4 linked regions of the Saccharomyces cerevisiae S288C genome follow. The gene in region 3 interacts genetically with the main gene of each other region. Each region holds a gene or a part of one and is shown on either strand. Other genes may lie near its edges. The genes, in order: NDE1, AMF1, RHO5 and HER1.

Region 1 (4,046 bases), on a different chromosome or scaffold from region 3:
TAAAGATGAGTCAATTCAGGATTCACATGGGAATAGGACCCTCCAATTGCCCAAAATGAAAAGTTTCAGTACCATAGACGGAAGCATTAAGGATATTAAGTGATCAAAGATACTAGATAATGTTTGTTCTTGATGGCAAGAAATACACAATGTCAACACCCGCGCTTTCTCTTCGATTCATTAGTTGATATCATTAACATTATATTATACATACTTTATTTCTCTTGGAAATTAAATATTTGATGATGGTTTATCTAAATATTGTCTCACTCATTTTCCCTTTTTTTTAAGATAGAATATCAGTTTGAGGCAACAAATGATAAATTATGATTATGTATATAAAACAATTTTAATTTTATTAGCATAAAAAAGGGACAAGGCCTCTGCTAAAATATCGATAAAAAAAGAAATAATATGAAAGACAAAACAAACTAACTGGAAAAAATAAAATAAAAAACAAAACTGATCATCATTTAAAAATGTTATTCTCTTGTATCTATTTCTACTAGATAGATGAATCTCTACCCAAGAAATAAACTTTAGCCCAATCCATAGCGACAAGAACTCTGTTTCTAAAGGATAGACACATTGCCAAATAAGCAGATTTCCAGAATAGGAAGGTGAATGAGCCGGCTAACCTATATTTGGCTTCACCAACGGCAAGATCAGCAATGGCTTTATCTGAACCAATATAAGCCAGAGCACCCTTATGGTTGTACTTGAAGTCTTCAATTTGCGATTGCGTTTTGACTATTTGGTTCTTTAATCTAGCGACTTCTGAATCGTCTTTAGCATGGGTCATTTTCCAGTTCAATTGATCGATTTTATAAGCTTTCTTGAAATACTGAGCCAAGTATTCACCTTCTTGGTGGGCAACTTGAGCGGTAGGGAACAAGCCAGGGTGGAAGGTACAATCGCCGATAGCAAAAATAGATCCCTTAGCACCCAAAAGTTGAAGTTTGTTATCTATCAACAAACCACGTCTTGAGTCCTGTTCCTCTAATTTAGTCATTAGGTTCTTAGACACTTCTCTTGGCGCATTACCTGTAGCCCAAACTAATACACCATACGGTATATTTTCAATGTCACCATCGCCAGTTTTGGCAGTTATAGTGGTAGCGTCAACTTTCTTAACCATTGTTTTCAATCTTAAATCGATTTTTTCCTCTTTGAATAAATCTTGAGCATAGTCAACGAGATACTTGTCAAACATGTTCAAAATGTTTGGCAAAGCCTCCACCAAAGTGACTTTAATTTCTTTACTCAATTCGGGCATCCATTTTCTCAAGTCCTGGTCAACATAATCTCTCAATTCAGCGGCAAATTCGACACCGGTGGGACCACCACCAACGACAACAAAGCTCAACAATCTTGCTCTCTCAGGATCTTTTGGAGATAGGGAGGCAGCTTTCTCAATACTGGACATAATTTTTAATCTGATCTCTTGAGCGTCGGATATTTCCTTCAAGAAAGAAGAATATTCATAAACTCCCGGAGTACCAAAAGTGTTTGGTTGAGCACCCACACCGACAACCAGATAGTCGTATTTCAAGTCCAAGTCGTAGTCGTTATTCTTAGCGGAAGATTTGACCTTAATTGTTTTGTTTTCAGGATCAACGTCGTACGCTTCAGCTTCATAGTAATGGACTTCACCGTGCGATCTTCTAGCAATAGTCCTGACAGGTTCAACAATAGATTTCAATTCGATGGTACCAACTGGGGTAGATGGCAATAGCGGAGTAAAAAGAAAATAATTTCTTGGAGAAACAACAACAACATTATACAACGTGGTGTCCAAATTTTTCAAAAGCGACACAGAACCCCAACCGGAGCCCAGAATTACCAAAGTCTTCCTCTTTGAACCGTTTGGAAAAGTGTCCGATTGAGGAACTTGGGTAGAAGGGTTAGCTTCTCGGTAAAGTGAGTATGAAACGTAAGCCGTACCCGCGAGGGCAGAATACAATAAAGCCTTCAAAGTAAATTTCCCAGTTCTCTTGAAAAAGGACTGCTTCGCAACAACGCCAGTAGTGGGCGCCACTTTTTGCAAAATGACTTTCTTGTCCTCTAGCAAATTTCTTGCTGCATGGAACGATCTATTTTTGGCATATTTCACAAGCCCCGACTTGCTCTGTAGGCTAAACCTGGAGGAGTTAGCCCACACTGTTTTCATTAATGATTGTCTAATCATTATTATTGGTTAATTTTTTATTTGCTCTAATAAGTCAATATTATGATGCTATATGAAGAATATTAGTGTGAAAATTTTTTTCCTTTTTCTCTCTTTAATTGGTTTACCAGAATATATAATAAAAGATAGTAGCTGCGTATAAATTTAGTCTAAATACTAAACATGCAAAAGAAATAATGAAGATAAAAACAATCGACACACTTATAGTTCTAGCCCCAACAGCACAAAAGCGGAAAAAATCAAAATCAAGAACAGGCCAATGAGCGTTGTCTTATATAACACAACCTCTTTTATATATACACCCAAGAAGGAGAATGAAAATAGAAACACCACACGCTTCGAGACAACGGAAAGAAAGCATAAGGAGTGGCCCATGTGTGCCAAAACTCTTCTCATTGCCGAGCCATGTATTACCATCCCGATGGTGATGGTTGTGAATGCAAATACCGCTGAGGCCAGAGTAATGCCATAGCGAGGACCAGGGCATCTCGAGCATCGTGGAGAAGATCCCTGTCGCTTTCTTTTTTTACCTCAAAACCAAATGCGATCGACGGGATCGCGGCAACTTTTTATCGGTCGGAATGGTTGAGCTAGGGCGTTTTCGTAAGGGGCGGGGTAGAGTTAGAATTGTAGTTTTTTTTCCGTAGTGCCGTGCCCCCATTACCGAATCTCGGCATTGGGTACCAGAGGGTTAGTGCGATAGTTCTTTAGCAAGATGTTAAACCCGCCTATGCCCGGGAACTGCATACAGGGAAGATCTCACCGGAAGATTACCTCGAAGGGGAGGGGTATGTGTTTTTTCCCCTCGTGGTTAAAGTGACTCTCTATTAACGTAATGAAAAGTCTAAATATTATAATGACTTGCACTTCGTATCAAGATATGCGAGAGATCATAATAAACGAAATAATATCCACAGTTTGGGTTTCATATTCTTATATATATATACGTGCGTATATGCATATATGTATGTTTACTATACATCAACATCAGCATCAAAATTAACATTAATTAGCTTCTTGCATGTGCTCTTTAGCTTCGGCGGCCTTCTCCACGTCGTATTTGAAATCAAAGTAAGATTTTTCGAAATGGTGTAGACGTATGAACCCATCTTCACCACCGGAGGCATAACTTGTGCCCTGTGGGCTAATGGCAACTGTGTTCAAGGGACCAAAATGGCCTTGTACTCTGCCGATTTCTTCTTCGAAGATCTTGTGGTAGAACCTAGCTTCAAACTTACCTTCGTTGGCACTGGTGGTGGTGACATCCTTGGCCTCTTGACCACCACCAAGAATAATGAATTCCTTCAATGGGGTGATTACGGCGGTGTTTAGAGGACAGTCTGTTTCGTATTTCTTAAGAACTTGTAGAGTCGATACATCGACCAAGAACGAGTTAGTATCTCTGGATGATGTAATAAAGTATGTTAAATCAGGAGAAAATTGCATGTCACTGATGGACTTTTCGTGCAAATCGATGGAATCCACGTATTCGTAGTTGTTGGACACATCGTATTTGCTGATCTTACCGTCTTTATGGCCTGCAATGATGTATTTGCCCTTAGTCGACCATCCAGCCACGGTGGCAGCGTCTAAACCTTCATGAGTGATAATTTTATGGATTGGCTCTTCGGAGACCTTTGTTAATTCGTGAGTGGCGGAATCTCTTTCAATTTCGTATATGTTAATGGAACCTGGATTTTTCATGACGTTGTCCAAGATAGCTAGAAAGTAGTTACCGCATGGGGAAAATTCAACTCTTTTAACGGGGACAGGCGATTTCCATGTAGCAACACATTGCCCGTTTGACACATCCCATAATTTGATACTGTAATCAGCACTTCCTGTAACACAGTACTTG
Region 2 (3,634 bases), on a different chromosome or scaffold from region 3:
TTTATAGGCTGCGGTTGTTCGTTTCTATGTATACCCGGAAGAACAAAAGGTCTGCTCTCCGTATCAGGAGATGTTTCACCTACTTGTTGCACTTGAGGTGATGCCGAAGGGACACGACCGTCAATATAATGACATACATATCCATAGGCAACGCACATTTCACATGGAGATTTGCCATTACATTTCCTTTTACGTTCCCTACAGGGCACGCAAGCCTTTCGGACTCTTTGTCGCTTGTGTGGTAATGCTGTCGATCCTGGGGATGCCATTTGGTGAGCTTAAAGTAGGAAAGTGTGCGCTAAGTTATCTTACTGAAGTTCTTTCAGGTTTCTACTTGAAAAAATAATGTATCTTTTCACTCGAGAATGGCCTCTTGTAATTTTCATATTTATCGCACGATACGGGATATACTGGCTCCTCTCTATCACTTTGATCGTACTATATTTATTTCTATTAGTTTGGGTTATATACCACGATGAAGTATTTCTCTATATATGAACTTATTCTATAAAATGCTGCTTTTCGGAGATCCTTTTTTTAGACTTCATAAAAGTGCTCCATGCATACGTTGCTGCGACAAAAATGCCAAGTCCGCTCAACCCGATGCCCATGTACCACGAACAACGATATCCTTTCAAAGGCTTGGCACCTCCGTCATTTACTCTAGATTCAATTGTACCTGCAATACCCAAACCTATCGATATCGAATAGTTTACCACCGTATTAACCAAAGAGGCTGCAAGACCTTGATGTTCGTGTGGCATCGAGTCACTAAGCATTATTGTAGCGGCCGGAAAGGACATGTCCATTCCCCAAGGCATAACAATGATTGACACAAACGTTTGAGCCCAATACGTTTGGTGAACGGGGGCCGTAGCAATCAATATAGTTCCGACTGTGAAAGCTGTCATCGCAAAAAGCATAACTGTGCTTGGGGGTGTATGGCTTAGAAGGAAACCTGTCGTCACGGCTGCACAAAATCCACTGATTGCTACAGGTGAAAACTGTGCACTAGAAAGAAGGGGGGTTTGGCCCCTTGAGTCTTCCATGAACTGCCATGTATAGAATATCCAAATACCAAAGCTGGCCCATCCCGCAGCTATGCAGCTAAGTACAAAAGCAGTATCACTAGAAAGAGCAGCAAATGGTAGCAGAGGGAAAGCTGCTCGGGACTCGATATATGCAAAAATAACCAAGAAAAAGGTACCAACTATCAAAAGAGCGTATGTGTATGGAGTTTGCCAACCCACAACGGGGCCTTGGTTCCAAGCGAAATTAAAGAGAATTAATCCAACAACGCCGGTAACTGACCCTGCAAAATCGATTCGTTCCAACAACTTGAAAGATGAGGCATCGCGGCTTGGCATGGGGGTGTGAGGGATTACAAAGTAACCTGCTACAGCTAAAACAAAGCATGCAATACCCATTATCCAGTAAGCCCATGGCCACCACGCCAGTTGACCCAACATGGATGAGAAAACAGCCCCAAGGAAGAAGCCACCAGGTGCTGAAGCACCAAACAGACTAAAGACCATGTTTTTTCTTCTTCCTGGCTTATATGTGCGTCCGAGAATCGCAATGGCATTTGGCAACAAAAAGGCCGGACCCATGCCTTGAAATGCACGACAGCAGTCAAAAAAAATCTGATTAGAGTAGACGCTAAACCCAGCAAGTAAGGACCAAAGTGCGTACCAAAAGAAGCCAAGGACAAAGAATTTCTTGTGTCCGAAGATATCTCCGAGTCTTCCAGCAATTAAAATGAATGTACCAACAGTTAGCGAATATGCGGAAGCAAACCAACTAAGTTGTCCAGCATTCGTTGTTCCAAAACTGTTACCGATGATGTGAAGCGGCGCTAATGATTGTCCAAGTCCTGCCTGAGTCATTAGTTGGGCAGAGCACAGCACTCCGACAAAGGCACTCTCCCATAAAAGGGATTTAGGCCTCTCATCCTGAATATCAAACTCTGATAATACTTTATCCTCCTTTTTCAAGGCTTCCGCGTTTGTATCCAAGTTTTTCTGCGTTACGGAGGAGCTAGTTGACATATTGATTTTATGTTCTTTATGTTCCAGCAATTGATGAATGTACAATATTTGTTTTCTTTTCAGGTAGAGAGTGAGATAGAAGTAAGTTTCCACAAATGAAGTTATTGGAGGCTAGATATACTACTCCCTTGGTATTTAAAACTGCTGCCAAATCTCGTTTATTTTAATCCCTACCGATAGCTCATCATTGAGAGCTTCCGCAATATCCGCACATTTCGTGGAGCGCTTCACGTGAAAAGAGTGGCCCATTGAAAAAAAAGCTGAAACATTCGTAGCGACAACCCTGGCGACAAGCGTGGCGACAACCGCAATAGCCGCCACAGCCGCAATAGCTACACATCACCTTTTTGGGCTTAAAGTGGTAGGTAATTTTGCTTGGCGCGGTTACCTACCACTCTAAGCCGCAACAACAGAACACGTATGGAAAGCTTGCCGCAATTGTCATCGTTCTGGCTAGTTCATTCAACGTTTTAGGTTTCCACCCCGTTACATTTGCACGTTCAGCGTAATGAGCGTGGGTACTCGATGATTGTCGTTTGTTAAGGCTAATCTAGTTGAAAAAGAAACGCGTGAAAAATGTTATTGAAGTTTCTTATCCAATTAAGATTTCAGCTTTTCAGCTTTTTTTCTAGGCGCTCACTTGGTTCCATACCATTCTTTTCAAAAAGTCTGCCATGTAATTATACGAATACTGTGAATCTTTTATGATAGCATGCTCCTATTATAGATGTGATCGATGTCTGTGTGCTTCTGGGCTTACAAACGAGGATATGCACACAAGGTTCCAAATTGCCGAAGCTGCAAAGAAGCAAGCAGGCTCCTGAAGCACCGAATCAAGATCAAATCATTGTAGCGACTTATTTTAGATGAACTTTGGAAAGCGGCGTCTATAAAAGTATAAAAAAATACAGCAAGAAACCTTTTTAAAATCTACTAGCAAAGAGAGAAAGGAAATGACTACATTAGGTGCGATATCAATAATATCGAATTGATGAAATATGAAAATAAAATTTTATGCCTGGGGAAAAGTTCGGTAACATCAAATCAGTGCTTTATTTGAGTATCTTCCGCCTGTAATTCCTCACATAAAAAAAAAAAGCTTTTTACACCTCCTTATGCCCATGCGCCCACGCATTTGTTTGTAGCTTTGCATTGGCCTTGTTGGTCTAGTGGTGTAGGCGCCCTTCAAAAGTTGCGTTTCTTGGGTGGGAGAAGTCCGAAAAATGCGTATCCGAGTGTACAACGGTTTTTTTTCAGGGACAATATGCCAAGGAATACCGTAAGCAACGGCTGCGCTAATACATCCATTAAAAATATCTCTCCTTGCTTAAGGTCTCACACCCAAAATGACAATGAGAGTGCTATTTTAGTTGTTCATCAATTTAGTATATACCAGCTCCCACAGGACGACGATTCTGACCCTTTCTATTTAAATAGCTCCTTACATCGAGAAGATCTCTGCAGCTAATCAAATCAATTAATATTTCAGATTTGTCGCGATTTTGAAATATATACTATAGGTTGTTATCTATCATATGCAATGTTCTGCACGTTATTTACTTCGATCTGATCTTAAATCAACTCTA
Region 3 (3,237 bases):
AACCAAAAGACGAATGGCGCTGAAAGAACAGGAAAAAATGTTACCATTACTATGGTTCAACCTGGAACTATGAGATCAAATAGCCTACGCCGCGTCATTAGTAATGGTTCGGTGGTATTGTTAATAATACTTTACTGTATTCTGTTGTACCCCATATTGTGGCTGTTTACCAAGAGTGGTCGTCGTGGTGATCAAAGTTTCTTGTACGCTTTAATGACACCGGAATTGGAGGAAGTAAACTTAAAAGACACGAAGGTTAAGTATATCTCAGACTGTTCAATTGTGAAATTTGCTCGTAAAGAATTTGATGACGAGGAATTACAGAAGAAACTATTTGATAATACGGAAAGAGATATTTTACAATTGGAAAAGAAAGTCGCGGCAAAGAGAAATGCCAATAAGACCGGGAATCAAAATTCTAAAAAGAAGAGTCAGAACAAGAGTAGAAAAGATGATTAGAAATGAGAACGTAAATATATGTGTAGATTTCTTTTTTTCTTATTTATGATATCGGTATATGTAATTATTTATTTACTTTTTCTGCCTCCTTGATATTAAAGTATTACACACTTTGACTTCTTTTTCTTCTTGTCGTTTCTCGTCTTTGGTTTAGCTTGCTTGTTGTGATGATTATTTGAGGCAATTTTACTACCTTTGCTTTTTGATTGCTCGTGAATTTTGTCTTTTTGTCCCTTTTTTGTGGGTTTGATATTGAGAGCTTCCTTCTCCTGCTGTAAGCTTCCTTTCGGAAGAGTACTATCTGTACTATTATTATGGTGTGGTTGCTGTTTTTGTTCTCGAATATTTTTATCTCCATTGGTGTTGGTTGTTGCAGTCGTTAATTCATCAGTTAGAGTATGATTTGCTGATTTTTGGTTAGGGGATTCTGGTTCGTAGATAGCGTACCTCACCGCCTGTTCAAAGACTTCCCGGACACCTGCTTGGGTAGCAGCTGAACATTCGGTATAGCCCATAAACCCACATCTTTGTACGAGTTCATCTATTTCCTCTTGAGACACGTAATCGGAGTTTGCTTCCTGCAATTTTTTCTGAGTTGCCGGATCATCTCTTAGGTCACTTTTGGTGCCTACCAATAGAATTGGATACTTCCCTAATTTAGTATAAAGAGAGGTACCTTCAATATTGGAAGTCTGCTTCAGTTCAGGTAGCCATTTTTCTGTGACATTGGCAAAACTAGCATGTTCGCTTACTGAGAAACATATTAAAAAAATATCTGTTTGGGGATAACATAACGGTCTTAAACGATCGTAATCTTCCTGTCCTGCAGTGTCCCATAAATTGATTTTATATAGTTTTCTGTCCGTACTTGGTGAAGAACTGGCAGATGAAAGTGAACCTCTTTTATCATTACCATTGTCAAGCTCTAGGGGGCTACTCGCAGTTCCGTTCGGGATAGCTATCGTAGTAGAATAATTATCAAAAACCGTTGGAACATAGTCTGTTGGGAACGAATTGGTAGTATATGATATTAGAAGTGACGTTTTACCTACTGCACCATCACCAATTATCACACATTTAATAGACCTCATCAGACTTATTAGTATACTATATTGTATTTAATAAATATTTCGGCGTGTGCTTTGTGGGTGCCACCTGTCTTGTATTTCCTATCCAACTGAATATTCTGGATATTGTCTTGTGCAATAGACCGGAAAAAAAAAAGTGAATGTTCCAACGCTTTGGAATACAATGATGGGTCAAGGATCGTGCTTTTGTTCGTTGGTGGATCGGCCGTACGTGTTTAGTGAGGGTACTATTTAAACTTACTTTAAATAGCAAAATAGGAAAAGCTACGAGAAACTGAAAAGTAAAAAAAAAAAAAAAAAATAAAAAAAAAAGAAAAAAAAAGGAGAAACATGATTGCCAGTACTCGCAAGAACTAAGATAGAGAGAAAAAGGACGATATATCAAGAAATAAAAGGGAAGGTAATTCAAGTAAGCACTGCTTAGCTGTCTGCATAGGAGCCTTCTGCAATTACTCATCTCATCGTATTCGTCATAACCCGTTACGTAACTGATTTGACCAAGAAGCGTAATGAAAATTTTGAGCGGACGCCGAAACGTTGTTTTTTTTTTGCTTTAGTCCAGATAATAACCTTTTATAATTTTCTTTTTAGGGAGGAAGACCGGTCTAAGCTCTTAGAGGTTCTCGCATACCCAAGTAAAAGCTAAGACCGAAGCAAACACGCAGGATAATTTTCCGGTTTACTCTCACTGCAGCTTTAGTATAGATGCAGATCTGGTATTGAGAGAGGGGGGCCGGAACGAAAAGATTCAGGGGAGAGAAAGGCCCGGGCGTCGGGGAACAAAACCACTTTTGCACACCTTAATTTTTTAGCTACTCTGTTTCTCCGGGCTTGTATGGCACATAAATAAAATTCTGCTACTTTCCATTATCTGGTCATCACTTACCGATGTGGAGAGCCTTGCCCTTGAAAAATAAGATAAGACCTCCGATTAGGGTATTTGAAATTAACCGCTGTAGAATGAAATAAGGACGCTTGTTTGACATTTTTTAGTTGCTTTCTCTATCTACCACCATTTGCATCTTGATTTATGTCTTGTTTGAGGAGATTTCGGATAAATATTCTTCGAGGGGAAAATGTCGTAAAAATAAAAACAATAAAGAAACAAAACGATTAAAAGAAAAACTCAACCATCCTCAAAAGTCCTCCTCTTTTTTTTCACGTGCTGCGCTGATGTAAGCAGCAGGACATGGCAGGAAGAAAATCGGAGAATTGTGGCCGCGACACCTGACAAACAATCCTCAGGCAAATGTAAAATTGTACATGAAAGGCTGCGTAGTCAATGTCTTAGAAGGCCGGCCCGCATGATCCAGAAGCAGACCATAAAAAAAATAAAAATTCGCGGTCTGGCAGCAGGCATAAGATGCATAGCGTTATCCTAAATGACATCACGATGATAAATCCTCCGCCGCATGATGCTTTTGATTTGCCTAAGGGCCTGCCATCGTGCTGGCTCAAACTATTGAGGGTCAACATACCTTGAAAATCCAAGTAAAAGGATGGATATCGTTATACTAAAAGCAACACAGAAAAGGTCCACGTCAGTTCCACACAATAACATTTACGTAGTGTTCACGCGAAGCAGTTACATCTCAACTAACATAATTGCTGGTGAGCCTACAACACTGCATGCGTAAACGTCAACGGGATTACGTTAGTATTTTTGGCCGCCGGTAAATTCTCTTGTTTT
Region 4 (5,943 bases), on a different chromosome or scaffold from region 3:
ACGACCGGGATCAACTTCCGAGACTTGGAATATATCATCAAATAGAGTGTTAGACATTGCTGCGGTTGTTATGGAAGCAATGAGCTGGCAACTGGGCTTTTATAGCTGCCATCACAGTTTAAATATTCTGAAATTTTTCATCTTAGTTTTCGCTTTAGAAAAAAAAAAATGTGAAAATGAAAGATGAAAATAAGACCTGGAGAAAACCTATCACGTCTGACGAACATGAAAAAACTAAGTCAAAATTTGATACATAATGTCACTAGTATTATGACTGTTTCTGATATTAATTACTTATTATTATACCTAATTATTCTTTTAACCCTTTCTATAAAACAACCAGAAAAAAAAAACCGGAAAGAGAGGACCTCTTGTATTTTATCATATTATCGTATCGCCTCTCTTTCAATGCAAAACGGAGGGGTTCCTCTTTGTTTTGTAGTCCTTGATTGCCGCCTTGATAGCGTCTTCTGCAAGCATGGAACAATGCAGTTTTACTGGAGGAAGACTTAGCTCCTTCGCGATTTCCGTGTTTTTAATTTTAACGGCCTCATCAAGTGACATACCGCGTACCAGCTCGGTCATGTAGGAGGAGGAAGCGATGGCAGACCCACACCCGAAGGTCTTGAACTTAACGTTCTCGATAATACCCGATTTATCATTCACCTGTATTTGTAGTTTTATCACATCACCACACGCAGGGGCGCCCACGATTCCTGTGCCGACATTAGCTAAGGACTTATCCATGGACCCAACGTTTCTTGGGTTTGTGTAGTGGTCAATTACCTTAGGATGGTAAAGTCTTTTGGCAGCTCTTGTTATGTGGGAGCCCGTGAGAGGCTTGAAGTGGGCAGGATTAGCGAGTCTGGCGAACATCTATGCTGTGCTATGTTTGTTGGTGATGTATGAGCTGTAATGAAACCTCAGCGTTGTCTACATATGCTTCTTTTGCTGTTGTTATATACTGCTATACTGCTGCACCGGCCGGCCCCAGGTGCTTATTAATAGTAGGTTCCGCATAGGGAAAAAACGAGGGCGCCAAAAAACGTTGGGCCTGAACCGGACTCTGAAACAATAGAATCATGGTGACTCGGATATATGCAGTATGCTGTGTATCTGTATTATGGGTGTACATATATAAACATCTGACCACTATAAAGTTGCAGTCATAATTCCATACCATGCCTTTCTAGACTGGGAAGGTGCGGACCCTGTAATGAAATAAGAATAATTCCATAGTGGTTTGGCGTTTCCTTTTCCGGGTTATGCTTAATTATTTCTTGAGTTTGTCTGCCTTTTGTTTTTGCTTAGTAACGTTAAGGGGCAGGTTAAAGAAGCGACATGATTGACAGTTCGATGGGTTAAGGTGGAAAGCGAACCCTCTATAACTTACATTTGACTCTTCCATTTGGTTGCAGTTGCCACATTTCTCGAGAACTAGCCTGTTCCCGTTTTATTACCACTTGCATTACGTATTTTCTCCTTTCCTCCTCGCACCAGTTCCCTTCCTTCAGTGATACTGTCGTCTAATATTTGACTGAGTCCCTTCCTTTTTTCTTCATTCTCTTTGGCCATTGTATATGTATTAATTTGTATCTGGTTGAATCTAGTCTGACATGAGCTCCAAGTTGAAGTACACTGATATAGATGTGCCATTGGACTGGTTGTATAAGGGGAAACGAAGGAATAGGACCAAAAGTGCGGCTTCCACGCGCACTTCAGAAGCTACCACCACCTCTGTAAAGAAAACTGCTACTTTGCCATCAACCGCAGCTGTTCCTACGAAAACTATAGCTTCTCCTCAAAGGCCCCTGAGCGGCCAGAATGTAAATAACGAATTATCCAACTCTAAACCAGCAGTATCCGCCGAGAAGGTTTCGCAGCAAGGACAAGTGCCCACTAGGAGGACTCGTTCTCACTCAGTATCGTACGGCCTACTCCAGAAGAAGAATAATAACGATGACACCACAGATTCTCCTAAAATATCTCGAATTAGAACGGCACAGGATCAACCTGTTAAGGAAACAAAAAGCAGCACCCTTGCGGAACCCATCGTTTCAAAGAAGGGGAGAAGTCGTTCTTCTTCTATATCAACTTCTTTGAATGAACGATCTAAGAAATCTCTGTTCGGTTCTTTGTTCGGGAGAAGGCCTTCCACCACTCCCTCGCACGTTGTTGAAAGACCGTTGTCTTCTCAGAATGACCATAAAAAAAGCACAGAACTCCCTCCTATAGATACCAGACAGTCAAAGATCTCCACCCCAACTAGTACTCCTACCACTGCATCTTCCAAACCCAGTAGTTCTGGTGGGAATAGACATTCTGATGGATCTCTTACTTCAAAACTTCTAAGTATTCCTCATAACATCTTGGAAACCTCTTCTACGAATTTTAATGCCCACCACCATATCCAGTCACATCATAGTAGTGGTCGTGAACAAGACTCGCCCCATTCTGAATCATCAGACCTCCCTCCCATTTTAGAAAAAGAAACTACGCAAAAACAATTACAGAAGGTGTCAAAGGTAAATTTGAAAAGGGTTACTATTGCAGTTCAAGAATTTAACTCAGATCCCCCACAACAACTACCTTCTAGGAAGCCTAAAAGGGGTAATGTTCTCATACCAGAAGATATGATTAGTGCCCCCCCACTAATCTCTCTGGGAATTACAAACAGCAGCGATCAAAGCAGTTTTCAGTCCAATATCTCTCCCTCATATTCAAAAGATTCTAAAGAATATAAATTAGCTTTGGAAAATTTTAAAAAAGCAGCTAAAGAAGCCGAAAAACATCAAAAGGATGCGTATTATGTTGCAGAGCGAATGGCTCAAGAAGTGGCAAACTATAAGGCCAGGCAATTGAAGACATCGCCGTTAACTGGAGCAACTAATTCAGCAGCAGATTCAGCGACGGATCAAGAATCCTCCTCTCTAGATGCTAGAGCTTCTAAGCTTCATATCGATAAACCGATCAATGTAGGTGCACATCCTTTCGAAACACATCAGGATGATAACATTAAATACTCTTCTCACCTTGAACAAACATTGGACGTAGCTTACACTAGATGCTGTCATTTGAGAGAAATTTTACCAATACCGTCCACTTTGAGACAGGTCAAAGGTAAAACCGCACCTTTGCAGACTTTGAAATTTTTGAATCCAAAACCAACCTTAGTGGATATATTATCATTTTGTGATTTTATTGCCATAACTCCGATCCATAACATCATTTTCGATAATGTGTCCTTAACCCATGATATGTTCAAGATTGTCATTTGTTCTTTGGTAACCTCTCCGGTAGTGGAGAAATTGGGGTTAAGAAATGTTGTGATAAACGAACAAAGTTGGAAACTACTTTGCAAGTTTTTATTACAAAATAAAACATTGATCAAGCTGGATATTTCTCAGACTAAAGCAAGGACAGATTTAAATGATTCTAACTACAGAGACCAAATGGACTGGGAACTATTTTGCGAAGTTCTTAGAAATAGAGAAGGTAGACCTTTGGAAGAATTGCTTTTGAATGGTTTAAGGTTTGACAAAATGTCATTCAGTCATTTCAAAAATATCCTACTTACTTTCGCACAAATGAACCCTAAAAACCCTATTCGTCTCGGGATGGCTAACGTAGAATTCTCAACCGAGTGTTTTGATTTTCTCTTTAATTGGATGTCTGAATATAACGTTCAAGGTGTGGATTTGGCCTATAATAATTTAGAAAGTTTGGCAAAACGAATGATCAAAAAACTAGCTAGGCTTCCTTATAAGCATTTGGAATATTTTACCCTTAACAGCACTAATATCACCTCTGTTGATGATATGTCCTACATACTAAAATATCTTTCACGTTTGCCAAGCATAAAATTTCTAGATTTGAGCAACTTGCCTCAGTTATTCCCGGGGATTTTAACATCCGGCTATAAGTATTTTCCCCAATTTCCACAACTGAAACGTATTCATTTTGATTTCGACGATCTTTCTATAAAAGAAACAACCATGCTTGTCAGCATATTAGCTAAGTGTGAAACCCTCTCTCATGTTTCATTGATAGGACAAAGTCCTATGCCCGATGCAAGTAAAATATCCGACAGTACTGATGAACCCGATAAGTCGAAAGATGAAAAGAAAGAACAAATCGTATTTATGAGAAATACGCTTTGGGCCTCATTGTATGCATTTGTTAGGGACTCTCACAATTTAGTTAGTTTAGACGTTGACTATGATCAAGTACCAGACGAAATTCAATCAAGAATTGCGTTATGCTTAATGCATAATATGAAGAGAATTATGGACTCTAGCTTTAAATTAGATGAATTGACTGTACAAGATGATTTAATATTTGATGGTTCCTTGATAACTGAGACAGCAGAAGAAGTTTTGAAAAGATTAAATGACAAATCTTTACTTCAAAATGATGTTGGGAAGAAATATCTTTTAAAGAAATATTTTGAGAAAATGGAAAAGGTACATCATAATGTTCAAAATACAATTGATTCTATGTTTGAGAAAAGAAAATCCGGCGAACTGCCACTGCAGGAAAAGGAAAACCTACTAAGGTTATTGCTTCTTGAGAAAAATTTATCAAATATTCTTGATATTTTTGCTTCTATGCCCAATATAGCAGATGTCGTACCATTTTCAAAAGCCGATAATAGTTTCCCTAATATTGGGGATAGCACGGTTAGCGCAAACTATAATGATGGTATTCGTCCATCTCTAAAACACTTAGATTCTGACAGGTTAATCAACGATGTTTCAATTCCTGAAAACGATTCATCAATTAGACCACACTTAATGGCCACCGACTCGGGACGAATCATCGATGTGACCACTGGTAAAGCTCTTCTTTTCAAGAGTTCGTCTAATACCTCACTGGCCGGCAAGAGACAGGAAGAAGAGGAAGGTGAATTACATAAATGGGGTGTGTTTGTACAGCACCAAAGCTCAAGACATAACTCTGGGCTTCCTTCATCCGCCAATTCTTCGAGAATTAGCGGGTCGTTAACACCAGATAGCAGTGTCGCCGGAGGAAAGAAAGGGGAATCCTCTCGCACATCTGGTACAAGGCCAAAAATCTTACCAAAGATTCCTACCGGTGCCGAATTAAGGGATGCCATTATTAAAGCTAAGGGTATTGATTCTGTAGATGATCTGATTAAAAATGTTACCTCTGAAAAGGTTGGATTGGAATCATTATATGGAGATGAATTGAACTCTAGAAGCCCGAGTAATGACAGTTTACAAGAATCACAACAAAAGGCGCCTTTGCAGAGGCCCCTTGTTGAAGATGAAACAGTGACAAAAAAATATGACAAACTATTGAACGATCTGTCTAATGTTCGTCACAGTAAAACCTAAATTATTTTATGCTTCTGTCTTTCCTTTCTCTTTCGATTATTAGAAGGTGCATCTTTGTATAAATATCCCATCAATAATGTATTCTTAGGAATCTATATATGTATGTACGTTTTATGTGTATATGTATTTTACGTTTTTTCATAATCATATACTTTCTGCCGAAATTTTTTGCCTTCATTATGCACACTAATGTTATTAATCAGATAAAAATACAGAAATTTAAAATAAATACTGAGAATAATATAATTAACTGTTCGAGAATTGTCGCAAATTAATAGCTTCACACTACTCCCACAAGGATTCCTAATTCACGTGCAACAGCAACCGGATCTTTTTGAAAATGCTTTCGAATTGGTTGGGACCCAGTTTCGTAGAATCCTCTTTCATCAATCTAATCAGAGAAACGAACCCAACGAGTGTTAATAGATTGATAGCTGTGGACCATTTTTTCCTGCTAGTCATTTTTCTAACACCGAAATAACGGCAGAGCCCCGAACCTATATGATATACACCTGACTCGAGGAGAATAGCTAACGGCACCAGGCCTCCAAGCCATTTCCACCACCTGTTCTTGCTAGATAGTAAT

The links.
Region 1: mutations in RHO5 (region 3) and NDE1 together harm fitness more than expected from each alone (negative genetic interaction), as found in Saccharomyces cerevisiae (one large-scale study listed by BioGRID).
Region 2: of RHO5 (region 3) and AMF1, a mutation in one rescues a mutant of the other (synthetic rescue), as found in Saccharomyces cerevisiae (one large-scale study listed by BioGRID).
Region 4: of RHO5 (region 3) and HER1, a mutation in one rescues a mutant of the other (synthetic rescue), as found in Saccharomyces cerevisiae (one large-scale study listed by BioGRID).

The regions. Positions count from the first base shown.
Region 1 is NC_001145.3:554,288-558,333, forward strand, and holds NDE1 (NADH-ubiquinone reductase (H(+)-translocating) NDE1), read right to left. Parts: upstream 2,189-4,046; coding exon 506-2,188; downstream 1-505. Other genes in the region: FDO1 (Fdo1p), read left to right, coding at 1-103; TIF34 (translation initiation factor eIF3 subunit i), read right to left, coding at 3,194-4,046.
Region 2 is NC_001147.6:1,047,925-1,051,558, reverse strand, and holds AMF1 (Amf1p), read right to left. Parts: upstream 2,049-3,634; coding exon 501-2,048; downstream 1-500. Other genes in the region: RDR1 (Rdr1p), read right to left, coding at 1-269. UniProt on the Saccharomyces cerevisiae protein: Low affinity ammonium transporter of the plasma membrane. May be involved in drug resistance through pumping them out of the cell.
Region 3 is NC_001146.8:299,100-302,336, forward strand, and holds RHO5 (Rho family GTPase RHO5), read right to left. Parts: upstream 1,551-3,237; coding exon 555-1,550; downstream 1-554. Other genes in the region: PBR1 (putative oxidoreductase), read left to right, coding at 1-459. UniProt on the Saccharomyces cerevisiae protein: Small GTPase that negatively regulates a MAP kinase branch, downstream of SLT2, of the PKC1-mediated signal transduction pathway.
Region 4 is NC_001147.6:761,209-767,151, forward strand, and holds HER1 (Her1p), read left to right. Parts: upstream 1-1,616; coding exon 1,617-5,357; downstream 5,358-5,943. Other genes in the region: DNA-directed RNA polymerase core subunit RPB8, read right to left, coding at 1-57; putative iron-binding protein ISU2, read right to left, coding at 406-876; MCP1 (Mcp1p), read right to left, coding at 5,661-5,943. UniProt on the Saccharomyces cerevisiae protein: Required for HMG2-induced endoplasmic reticulum-remodeling.